3 linked regions of the Nothobranchius furzeri genome follow. The protein of the gene in region 1 purifies or fractionates together with the protein of each later gene. This does not show direct contact. Links are inferred from orthologs where the notes say so. Each region holds a gene or a part of one and is shown in the gene's direction. Other genes may lie near its edges. The genes, in order: sf3b4, ilf2 and phf5a.

Region 1 (3,751 bases):
GAGTCAAAGGTGGTACCATCCTGACCATGCGCCGGCACATGCATACTCTGTGCATTCAACTGCCTCTCTTTTTTAAAGGCTAAATATTTTTTTGTTAAGTGTTCTATTCTAAGCTTCTGTTGATTAATTGACTATTCCATCCGACAACGTTTCAAGCGAAAAAAAACTGGTTTACTGCTAAAAAATATGAAATAAAACAACAAAATTATCAGGCTGAAGTATATAAAAGGCTCAATAATATGCATTATGGTTTCGTCCATCATGAACAGCCCCCCTCCTTCCACTCTCACTGAGACTTCTTTGCTTCGTTCAAAAGAGCCAGTCTTTTGAGCGGCCCTTTGAAGACGTAATTATTTTTATTTTTATGAGCTTTACTATCTATTTGTGGTATAACGGTTTGTGACTAAATGCATTATGGGATACTTTTCTGGTCCAAGTCCAAAGATGGATACTTTATTGTAATGGGTGAAGGACGAACACATCCAGGAACTTTGAGCGTACTTGCCATGATGCGTACTTGGTATTGGAACAGTACACGGGCTAACGCCAATGACATTTCACAATTAATATAGTACACACGTTTAAACAAGTACTCATATTGCAAAACAGCCTATAACTTGTTTTTTTTAATTAGTCTAAACCTTTCTCTTTCTGTGGTCTTTGGTGATTGCCAAGCAACACTTCCTAACCAGGAAGCAACTTGGTTCGCTCCCTGCTAGCCAAACTATCTCTAAGTATCATGACAGTGCTATACTTTCTCATATTTATGCCATAATGTCAAATTATTTCTTTATTATGTGACAAATATTATGAAGGTTAAAAGAAGGCGATTGTGTTTATGAACACCGGGTTTTAGTGAATCAGCTTGTGAAATATGTGTTGCATTATTTGGTTTGTGTTGTGAAATTCTGTTCTCGTTTTAGGGGCCAAAAAAAGAAAATGTAATAAGTGTATTTGAGCAGGTTTAATGAGTGAGCCTGGAGGTCTTTAATTTTGTTTATTTTTAAGGTTTACTTTTTAAAATAAAGTTCAGTAGATGTATTTTTCTTCACAAGCCATTAATTATTCTCAGCTCTTTCAGTTATTTTAATGACTATTATCTATGAAGGCTCCCTTACTGATGCTTATTTTAAATTCATTTTATAAACAGCTTTGGCAACAGTTTTATTTTTTGTCTTTGGTGCATGATGTTAGTTTCTATTTTTAATGTGTGTTTTATATATATATATATATATATATATAAAAAATAGTTACTTTCTAAAATTTTTGAGACCCTAAATGTGTGTATTTTCTATGAACACTTTGTATTCCATGTTTATACCTTTAGTATATTTATATGTATATGAAATAAATCAAATAATAAAAATAATTGTGGCTTTGTTTTGAATTTGTTGTTAATGGTTAAGTGCCATACAACTAAAAATATCCCAGAAAAAACTATCAAATCAATTCAAATGAAACTTAGTGATTTTGATTGCCTTTCAAGTTTTTAATTAACATTCATTTATTTGCTGTCTTTTTTTGTTTAGGAATGTCTGGGTCTTTAGTGTAATCAGAGTATAACAATTTTTTATGTAACTACAAAAACAGAAGAATTAGTTTATTTTTACTTTAATTTATTTGATCTTATTTTATTTTGTTGGGTTTTACCGGAAGAGGCGGGCCTTCCCTTCACAACGCTCTCCCAGCGTTGGTCATTCAACATGGCAGCGGGACCAATTTCAGAAAGAAACCAAGGTAATTTCATTGTTTAAATGGTTTAACGCTTACACCTTCATTATTTAGCGATATCTCTTGATTTATAACAATTGAAATTCTTATCCGCTCTTTCCCACCAATGTTAGCTGTCTAATTAGCCCGTGTTTTGGGGGTAAATGCGTACTCAAACACATGGAAGTCTCCGGTCTCGTTAGCCTAGCTTCTAGCTAAGTTAGCCGTTTTTTGTTTATTTTAATTGTATTACTTAATGCTTGTATTACTTAATGCTTGACTTCACGATAGCATACGGGAGTTTTATGTTGTTTATTTGAAATGCAGAGATTATTCCAAGTCAGGACTAGAACCACTAAACAACTAAAGTTAGCCTTAAAAACTCGCGACATTAGCATGTAGCAATGCTCACCTATCAATGTAAACACCGTTTTCCTTAATAGGTATTTTCTTGTGTTTCCAGATGCCACCGTGTATGTCGGTGGTTTGGATGAGAAGGTGTCAGAGCCGTTGCTATGGGAGCTTTTTCTGCAGGCTGGCCCTGTTGTCAACACACACATGCCCAAAGATCGGGTCACAGGTCAACATCAAGGTGAGAATCAGGCTATTCAAGATGGGATGAAAGTCCTAAAATTCACTGTAACAATGTACATAACAAATGAAACTGTTCCACTCAGGTTATGGATTTGTGGAGTTCCTCAGTGAGGAAGATGCTGACTATGCCATTAAAATCATGAACATGATTAAGCTCTACGGCAAACCGATTCGCGTGAATAAGGCCTCCGCCCACAACAAAAACCTGGATGTTGGCGCTAATATCTTCATCGGGAACTTGGACCCGGAGATCGATGAAAAACTGCTCTACGACACGTTCAGTGCTTTTGGCGTTATTCTACAAACTCCAAAGATCATGCGAGACCCAGACACCGGCAACTCCAAGGGTTACGCCTTCATCAACTTTGCCAGCTTTGATGCGTCCGACGCCGCCATCGAGGCCATGAATGGCCAGTACCTGTGCAACCGGCCCATCACTGTGTCGTACGCGTTCAAGAAAGATTCTAAAGGAGAACGCCATGGCTCAGCGGCAGAGCGACTGCTAGCTGCACAAAACCCTCTCTCGCAGGCAGACAGGCCACATCAGCTGTTTGCAGATGCTCCGCCCCCACCATCTGCACAGACGCCACTCCTAACCGCAATGGGCCCCGGGATTCCTCTTCATGGTATGACTGCTCTAATCTTAACTGCCGATAAAGAAGTACCTTTCTACATTTATTGGGTTAATTATATAATAGTTTTGTTTTTTTTTTTGCGCAGGTTTGCCGCCTCCTGGTGCCTTTCCTCACGTTCCTCCCCCTGGATCAATGCCTCCAACGATGCCCCCTTCTATGGGCATGCCTCCATCAGCAGGGACACCAGGTCCTCCATCTTCTCTTGGTGGACCTCCAGCTGTTCCTCCACCTTTCGCACCGGCCAGCATGCCTCCAGGTATAACTCGGTTGCAGAAAAGCCTGAAAATTTAAGTCTCTGCTCCCCATTTTAGCTTTAAGAAGTCCAATAACGATTAATAAAATTGTGCAGGATCAACCTCAGTCATCTCCTTCAAATGTGAAGAAATAAAAACAATAATGTTTCAATTTAAATGTCAGGTTATTAAAATGCAGCTGTTAGCCCTGAATGAGTTATTTTTATTTGTTTGATCCGGGCCCACAGGTATGCCTCAGATGCCCATGCCGCCTGCTCCTCCTGGCATGGTGCCTCCACCTGCTCCACCAGGATCGGCTCGAGCTCCACCGCCCCCCAGCATGCCCCCACCTCCTATGGGCATGCCTCCCAGAGCACCGTATGGACCCCCCATGGGTGAGCACTGTGGCATTTTCTCAAAAATACAATTTTTTTTAAATGAAAGTTGTTTTTAACCTGTTATTTCTTTTTTTTTTTTTTTTTTTCCCAAGCCCACCCTGTGCCTCCAGGTATGAGAGGACCTCCCCCCATGCCTCCTCCCGGCTATGGTGCCGTTCCTCCTCGTCCACCTCCTTTTGGT
Region 2 (3,720 bases), on another chromosome or scaffold:
ACGGACGTCAGGGTCCATTGACGAACAGCGCAGGTGAGAATCAGTGCATCTTTTGTATGACAGAATGTGAAACTATTGAGCACCTTTTTCTTCTCGTGTTCAGTAACACTTGGTTTTGAGGAGGATGTTTATCGATTGGTAAATATTGAGAGAAATGATGTAATCTAAAGTACTGATATACATGGATGCTCTTCCAAAAAAGATATCCAAAATGGTGAACATTACCAAATACATAAGACTAAATGGAAAAACAGCAAGCCTAACATTAATCATTTTAAAAATTAAATAAAACAATTTACAACATCTCAAAGAGTATTTTCAGAAAATAACCAATCTATAACTGAGTTGTGCGAAACAATGTCTGAGTTTCTTGTTCTTTAAATTACAGTCCAATGAATCAAACATGTTTGAACTATAATGCTGAAATATCAACCTCTGAACGTTTTTTGTTTGTTGTTGATGTTATTTTATTTTTTGTTTTAATTATTATTATTTTGCATCATAATTTATTTTATGGTAGTGCCATGCGGTAAATGTTGCAAGTTCTAAATGTCATTTTTATTTTCCTCAAGTGCGGTCATTTGTATTTGTTATATTCTTCAGTACGTTGAATGTAGGTTACATTGTAAACTGAATGTATGTGAAAACGAAGATTGAAATAAAGTTAAAAAAGAGACTTGACCAGAAAGACGTGAATGAATAAAGTTACGCTATGGCAGCAGCAAAAAAATATACCAATAAATAAAAAAAACAGCGCATCTAGCTATAATATGTGATATCTATGCGGTCCACACTCCATTCCAGTTGGGGGCGGTAATGTACCACGGCGTTGGTGACGTAAAACAGAAAGAAAGAAACAATTCCGCCGGAAACAGAAGTCTCTTTGTGCCACACTAGTCCCTTCCGCAGTTAGCCTCCGCTCATTCATTAAACCATATCAAACCGTTCTCCCTGTTTTCTCTCATCAAACCATCAAAACGTCGTACGCAATGAGGTAACGCTGACTAACCGGACCTGGTTGTGTTGGCTTTACGCTAACTAGCCTGTAATCAGTGTCATTAGCTGTTAGCCATTAGCTCGGTATAGCTTTCTGTTAAAGTCTCGTTCTGAACGTGGTGTTACTTATTTATTCCTCCAATAACAGTGTTACTGATAACTCTTACGTTTTATCGACAGCAAGTTAACACTGAGGTAGCGAATTAGGACTATAACACACGTGTGTTAGCTAAGATCAGCGTTTTTATTTATCCTTTAGTCTGGCAGTAGCGAGCGCACTGGACTGATCTGGGTTTTGTGTTTGTGAACAGAGGAGACCGCGGCAGGGGCCGAGGACTCCGCTTCGGAGCCCGGGGAGGCATGGTCCAGGGGTGAGTACCTTACTGATCTCTGTTCCTGTTCCATACTGGTTCTTTCAGTCAGGTCCTTGATCTGGTTGTAGAAAGTATCTGACAGTTAGTCTTAAGTTTGCTGGTTCGATTCCTGCTTCTGGATGGAACTCGGACCCATAAGCCATCAGAGTAGAAAAGTCTAAGTGAGAAAGATCTTCAGAAGTGGAAAAAGAAGCCTCTTGTGATTACACAGGACGACGGCACTCTCCCCAGAACATCTCCAGAAGGACTTCTTCAGAGCAGTTAGATCTTTCCATCCTGTCTGAAAGCAGCGTCCTGTTTCTGTCTCTTTAAACTTCATTTTTTCCCAAATGAAACAATCCATTGATTTCTGGATCCTTAAAAAGCTGCTGTAAAGTCTGGAATCATCAGCTCATGTTGTGCGTGGTCCTGGTGATGAAGCTAAGACGGATTGTTGGTTATTGTGCTGAAGCAAAAAGAACCGCTGCCTTGGTTATAACTGAAACCTCCAAATCATTGTTAAAATCTACTTTTTGGGTTTGAACATCAGCTTTCATAAGGTCCCGGTCAGACGTTCTGGTTCTGACTAGTAGGGACATTTGTGCCAGTCCACCGATTCTCCGTTCTTCTCTCTGTCCCGCTCAGGTACCGTCCTTTTGTCCCGCACATCCCATTTGACTTCTATGTGGTGAGTTCACGCATGTGACAGACAACAGAACAGCATGCAGGAATAATCAGTAACCATGGCTACAACTAGCATCTGGTAGAATCCGGTCCATTTTGTGGTTCTGAAGCAGACTGTTGTCCTTCCCCAGTGTGAGATGGCCTTCCCCAGAGTGAAACCTGCTCCTGATGAGACGGCGTTTAGCGAGTGTCTGCTGAAGAGGAACCAGGACCTGAGCCCCTCACCTGCAGAACAGGTCAGCTAGGTATTCCAGTTCAACACCTCACTGGTCTCATCGTGCTGTAGGTTACTTACCTGACGTCTTCATTTCCTTCTGCTTCTAGTCTTCCATCTTGTCTTTGGTCACAAAGATCAATAATGTCATCGACAACCTGATTGTTGCCCCTGGTAGCTTTGAAGTGGTGAGTGGTGAACATCTGACCTGTAGAGCTGCCATGTTTACTGAAACTGGTGTAAATGAGTTGGTGTCAGTAAGGCTGTAATGATCTGTGTTTGCTGTCACGTCCTAATCTGGGATTAAATGTTTCTCTTCCGTCATGACCTTCCTAGACCTCCCACAGGCTGAGCTTTATGTAGCTGAGCGGTTTTATCTTTTAGAACGCATCAAAGCCATCCCGCATGCTTACGTTATCTGTCCACAGCAAATAGAAGAAGTTCGTCAGGTGGGTTCATACAAGAAGGGAACCATGACAACTGGACACAACGTCGCTGACCTCGTTGTCATCCTCAAGATCCTCCCTACACGTGAGTCATTGTTCATTCAGACCAGCCCTGGGTCCGTCACTAGGGCCTCATCCTGCTGGAACAGCTTCAACAGATGTTCTGGTGAAACCACTGAGCACATCTGGACTCGTGTTGGTAAATACATGGCTAGTCCCATCATGCAGCCCGACCGGACCGGCTATCCAGCAGCTAAGCTGTTTAGCTTTAGCCTCTTTAAGCTTAACAGTGATGACGAAACTCGTCAGACCGTACAGGAACTCGAGAACAGAAGTGTCTGAATCCTAAATGTGTTTATGAGGCAACTTGGTGTCATTTAAACCCCGAATACCGTCGGTAGAGTGGTGATTAATACTGAGTCCAGTGTTAAACACCTGGAGCTAAAGCTGACTCTGCTCTTCATGTTTAATCTAACAGTGGAGGCAGTGGCTGCGCTCGGGAACAAGGTGGTGGAGACTCTTCGCACCCAGGACCCCGCAGAAGGTACGGGGGTGGGTCTGTGTGTGTGTGTGGGGGGGTGTATCTGCAGCTCTGGACCTTACCTAAAGGCTGAAGTTGGTCAGAGTGCCCTCAAGAAACAGAGTGAGCATCTTTAGTGAGTTAATGATGTAATAAACACTAATGGTGTGTGTGTGTGTGTGTGTGTGTGTGTGTGTGTGTGTGTGTGTGTGTGTGTGTGTGTGTGTGTGTGTGTGTGTGTGTGCACCCGCGCTTTCAGTTCTCTCCATGCTGACCAATGAGACGGGCTTTGAGATCAGCTCAGCTGATGCAACCGTTAAGATCCTCATCACCACTGTCCCGCCCAACCTACGCAAGCTGGATCCAGAGCTGCACCGTATGATACACACACACACACCCACACATGCATACACACACACACACACATGCACACACACAGACACTCGTTTTTTAAGGACTTCTCCGTTTTAAACGGTTCTTTCCACTGAACCTTTGATCTCTAATCTG
Region 3 (3,751 bases), on another chromosome or scaffold:
ACGATTCTCAAAGCCGATGTCCAGCGGCGCCGCTCGTCCAGCTGAAGGCTGAACCAGAGGAGAGAGAGAGTAAGTGAAGGCTCTTCAAATTTGGTTTAAAGGTCATTTTTGATCATTGTTGTGTGACTGGGTTGTGTCTCTGTAGTCGTTAGAGTGCAGGTGAAGGTGGAGGAGATGGAGACCCTTATCAACCCCCCAGACCAGCCTCAAAAAGTCTCGCAGTGTGAAGTGAAACAAGAGAAGGCCGAGCAGATGATCCAGTCGGGACATCAGGTGCCAGAGCAGAGCCCACTGGCAGACATGATCCATCAGACCGCAGAGAAAAGAGAAACAGCAGAAAATGGAGGCGAGCATAAAGGACAAGCTGAGCGGAGTTAAAAAAAGACAAACCCCAGAAAAAAGGAGGCCAGAAAATGGGAGGAGCATGGAAGAGATGTGGGAAAACAACACAACAAGACACTGCAGGAGGAGCTGAACCGATGGAGATATAAGCGGCTGCTGTAGATGACGTTCTGAGATGGTAACAGATGTGAATCAAAAGACGGCTGGAGCTATGTCTCATGAATCTCTGCTGTTTATAAACTCTCAGACCCTCCGACCCAAAAAGAGAGTTCAGAACTGTCTCGCCTCCCCCAAGGTCACCCTAGCTACACCCAGTTCCTCAAAAGCTTTTGTTAGTGATCAAGTCATTGTTTTTGTTTCGTTATCAGATTTGTTTTTGTGAGCAAATATCCAGTCGGGAGTAAGAGTCAGACCAGTAGGTGAACAGATGAAAACCGGCTGATCCTGGCTGCATAGACCAGGAGCCGGTATGGCAATGTGGACCTGTTTCACTAGTTAGACTAATTCACTGGCTGGTCATATTAGCCAAGTTAACTGTTTTAATGTTTGTTGGTATAATTCTGTTAAAGAAGAACTCACAGTGGTCATTGTAATGATTTGAAACTGACAAAAGTAATAAATATATACTGAAAATCCATCTTGGCTTTTGATTAGTGGTTAAACAACAACTGAAAAGAAAATAATAAAATGGACCTGGATAAAAATGTTCCCTATTCTTCATTATTTGTTGTTGAACCTTTTGAGACAGTGTCAGCAACCCAGGGATTTTTGTAATTTTATTAACTTTGCTGCTGTTCTATGGTAACTCAGAGACATTGCAGCTCGTATCAGGATGAGGCATCACCTCTGGAGCAGAGGGATAAAGAATTTTAGTGAACATAAAACTTGGAAATTTGTTTAAATTCTGGGCTAATGACAGCATTTTCACCCAATGTCCTTGTTTATTTGAAACCCGTTTTTTAAGAGTGTAGTTACAAGGTGAAGGCACTAGGTGGTGGTAGCGACTCAACTCGACACTTGCACGCCGGTCAAAGGTTAAAACTGAATTACGTTCGGCCGTCGTTGGTTAGCTGAAAATGGCTAAACATCACCCAGATTTGATCTTCTGTCGAAAACAAGCGGGTGTCGGTATGTTTCTTTACTTTATGTCGTTCGGTACCTTTGAAACTACACAGATATATCAGAAACACGTTTGATTTGCGCCATGTGTTAGCTGCTAAGCTAACTGTTAGCATAAATACTGAAATGAGTAGCGGAGCTGGACGTGTCTTTACGGTTTTCATCTCTGTTGACACTAACAATTTTATGGTTTTTAAACCCGTTTAACTGAGTATTGAACATAGAGAAGTACAAATTTATCGTTTATCCTGAAAATTGAAACGTTTAATTGAACGACTGTTCTGTTTTCCTCCCGCAGCTATCGGGAGACTTTGCGAGAAGTGTAAGTGTCTCCACTTTTAACACGTTTACTGTAAAGTCTATTTCTGTTATAGGTTTTCCTCTAGAACGTTGTGCTTTTGGCTAATTCTAACCCAAAGATCTAGCTGATTTCCTTGGAGTAAAGGCGGCTAAAAAGAACCAACCATCATAAACGCTGTTAAACCTCTAGATTTTATTTATAGGCACTTTAAAAACACCCACCTTATAAAAAACCATGCCAATGTAAAATCCGTAATGAATTTTAAAGTCAATGCAATGTAAATTTAAGCAGCATTTTTAAAATAATCAAACATAAATTTAGATAAGAGAATTTGAAAATGATCTGAGGTGTCAACAAGGAAAAGGAAGACGAGGCCTTAGGGTGGAGGTGGAGATATGCAGGTCATCGTTAGGATTTTGGATATCGAGGACAAAGACTGGGATTGGTCTTGAAAGTGAGGCAGAATCCTGTGATGATGCAAAATTGGGATGGCAGCATATATCATATGCTACACGTGGCAGAGCTTTTGACTGACTGATGTCTTTAAAGATGAGGAGCCAGCTGAGGTGGGTTGGGAATTTGGTATGGATGTCCCCTGGACTCCACCTAGGGGAAGCGTTTCAGGCATGTCCTGCCAGCAGGAGGCTCCAGGTCGACCTGCGACACATTGGAGGTACCTCCACTTTGGGCAAGGCACACCTGGGGATCCTGCTGGAGGAGGTCTTCAGAAAGAGGCAAGGTTGGGTATCTCTGCTGGGGCTGCAACCCCCGTGACCCAGACTCATATGCAGGTAAAATCTGGTGGTCATTTACAGTAATCAGGGTCCAGATGTATGGCTGTAAGTGAAGAAAACATATTTTCTACACAGACCGTGCAAACATGAATCACCTTTAGACAGTACATGCTGGACATGAGGAATAATAACGAGGTCACAACCCAAACCAAGATGTTCACCAGACTGAAACTAGTCTGAGAGAAGTTAAACTCTCAACACTGAACTTCACTAAAACTAGTTTCTCCATCCACTGAGTTCAGCGTGTCCCAGCTGGGACAAAAGAGACAACAGAAGAATGTGTTAACAGAAATTTTCAAACCTGTGGACATCCTGTCTGGACACTTGCCAACTTAACCAGAAAATCTGGAAAAGCACCCGACAGGAAAATTTTAAAGTTATTGCAAATGTTGCAGGATTATCAAAGAAACTCCAAACGTGGCATTCTGGTGCATTGGAGTCCAGATGGGACCCTGAGACAGAAGTTGGTTTAGGTGAAGGACACGAGCTGAGCAGAGTCTGCACCTGTACACACAGATCAAGGCTCAGATTTAAATCTGAGAAAGATGTCACTTCCACATTTTGCTTTGAGAAAAGTCAATGAAGCCATTAGGTCGAATAGGAAAAGTCGCAGTTAAACAGATCTCCGGTTTCACTTATCCAACACCTCCAGTGCAGCTTTGGCTCCTCTCCCACTTCGTTTCACAACCACTCACACTTAAAAACACGTGACTGAAACTCTTCCTAACGTTCCAAACACTCACAGAAGAGACGGCGGGTCAGTCTTGTGATTGTTACAGTTACCTAATAAGATCAGAAGCACTTTCACTTTATTAGTAAATGTAGAAATAATTATTGTTCCCATCACCAGCTTAGTTTCTCTTCCTCTTCCAGGTGATGGGAAGTGTGTGATCTGCGACTCTTACGTGCGACCGTGCACGCTGGTGCGTATTTGTGATGAGTGTAACTACGGCTCCTATCAGGGGCGCTGTGTGATCTGCGGAGGTCCCGGCGTGTCTGACGCTTACTACTGCAAAGAGTGCACCATCCAGGAGAAAGATGTGAGTCCTCCTCTCGTACGCCCAGCTGTGTCTGCAGGAACGTCTCTAAATATTTTGTTCCTCTCTGCAGCGAGATGGCTGTCCCAAGATCGTAAACCTGGGCAGCTCCAAGACAGATCTGTTCTATGAAAGGAAGAAGTACGGCTTCAAGAAGA

Evidence for each region.
Region 2: the proteins of sf3b4 (region 1) and ilf2 fractionate together in Homo sapiens (co-fractionation; 3 studies listed by BioGRID, with this or other methods). This does not show direct contact. The link is inferred for Nothobranchius furzeri from reciprocal best matches to the Homo sapiens genes SF3B4 and ILF2.
Region 3: the proteins of sf3b4 (region 1) and phf5a purify together in Homo sapiens (affinity purification with mass spectrometry; 6 studies listed by BioGRID and IntAct, with this or other methods). This does not show direct contact. The link is inferred for Nothobranchius furzeri from reciprocal best matches to the Homo sapiens genes SF3B4 and PHF5A.

Annotation. Positions count from the first base shown.
Region 1 is NC_091759.1:1,629,855-1,633,605, forward strand, and holds the start of sf3b4 (splicing factor 3B subunit 4), read left to right. Parts: upstream 1-1,468; 5' UTR 1,469-1,703; coding exon 1,704-1,737; intron 1,738-2,173; coding exon 2,174-2,302; intron 2,303-2,387; coding exon 2,388-2,930; intron 2,931-3,024; coding exon 3,025-3,195; intron 3,196-3,420; coding exon 3,421-3,567; intron 3,568-3,662; coding exon 3,663-3,751. UniProt on the Homo sapiens protein: Component of the 17S U2 SnRNP complex of the spliceosome, a large ribonucleoprotein complex that removes introns from transcribed pre-mRNAs.
Region 2 is NC_091751.1:23,258,216-23,261,935, reverse strand, and holds the start of ilf2 (interleukin enhancer-binding factor 2 homolog), read left to right. Parts: upstream 1-836; 5' UTR 837-989; coding exon 990-994; intron 995-1,307; coding exon 1,308-1,367; intron 1,368-1,994; coding exon 1,995-2,037; intron 2,038-2,164; coding exon 2,165-2,269; intron 2,270-2,357; coding exon 2,358-2,435; intron 2,436-2,675; coding exon 2,676-2,778; intron 2,779-3,171; coding exon 3,172-3,237; intron 3,238-3,472; coding exon 3,473-3,589; intron 3,590-3,720. UniProt on the Homo sapiens protein: Chromatin-interacting protein that forms a stable heterodimer with interleukin enhancer-binding factor 3/ILF3 and plays a role in several biological processes including transcription, innate immunity or cell growth.
Region 3 is NC_091756.1:28,019,757-28,023,507, forward strand, and holds the start of phf5a (PHD finger-like domain-containing protein 5A), read left to right. Parts: upstream 1-1,316; 5' UTR 1,317-1,418; coding exon 1,419-1,470; intron 1,471-1,759; coding exon 1,760-1,783; intron 1,784-3,429; coding exon 3,430-3,596; intron 3,597-3,666; coding exon 3,667-3,751. Other genes in the region: l3mbtl2 (lethal(3)malignant brain tumor-like protein 2), read left to right, coding at 1-69, 146-378.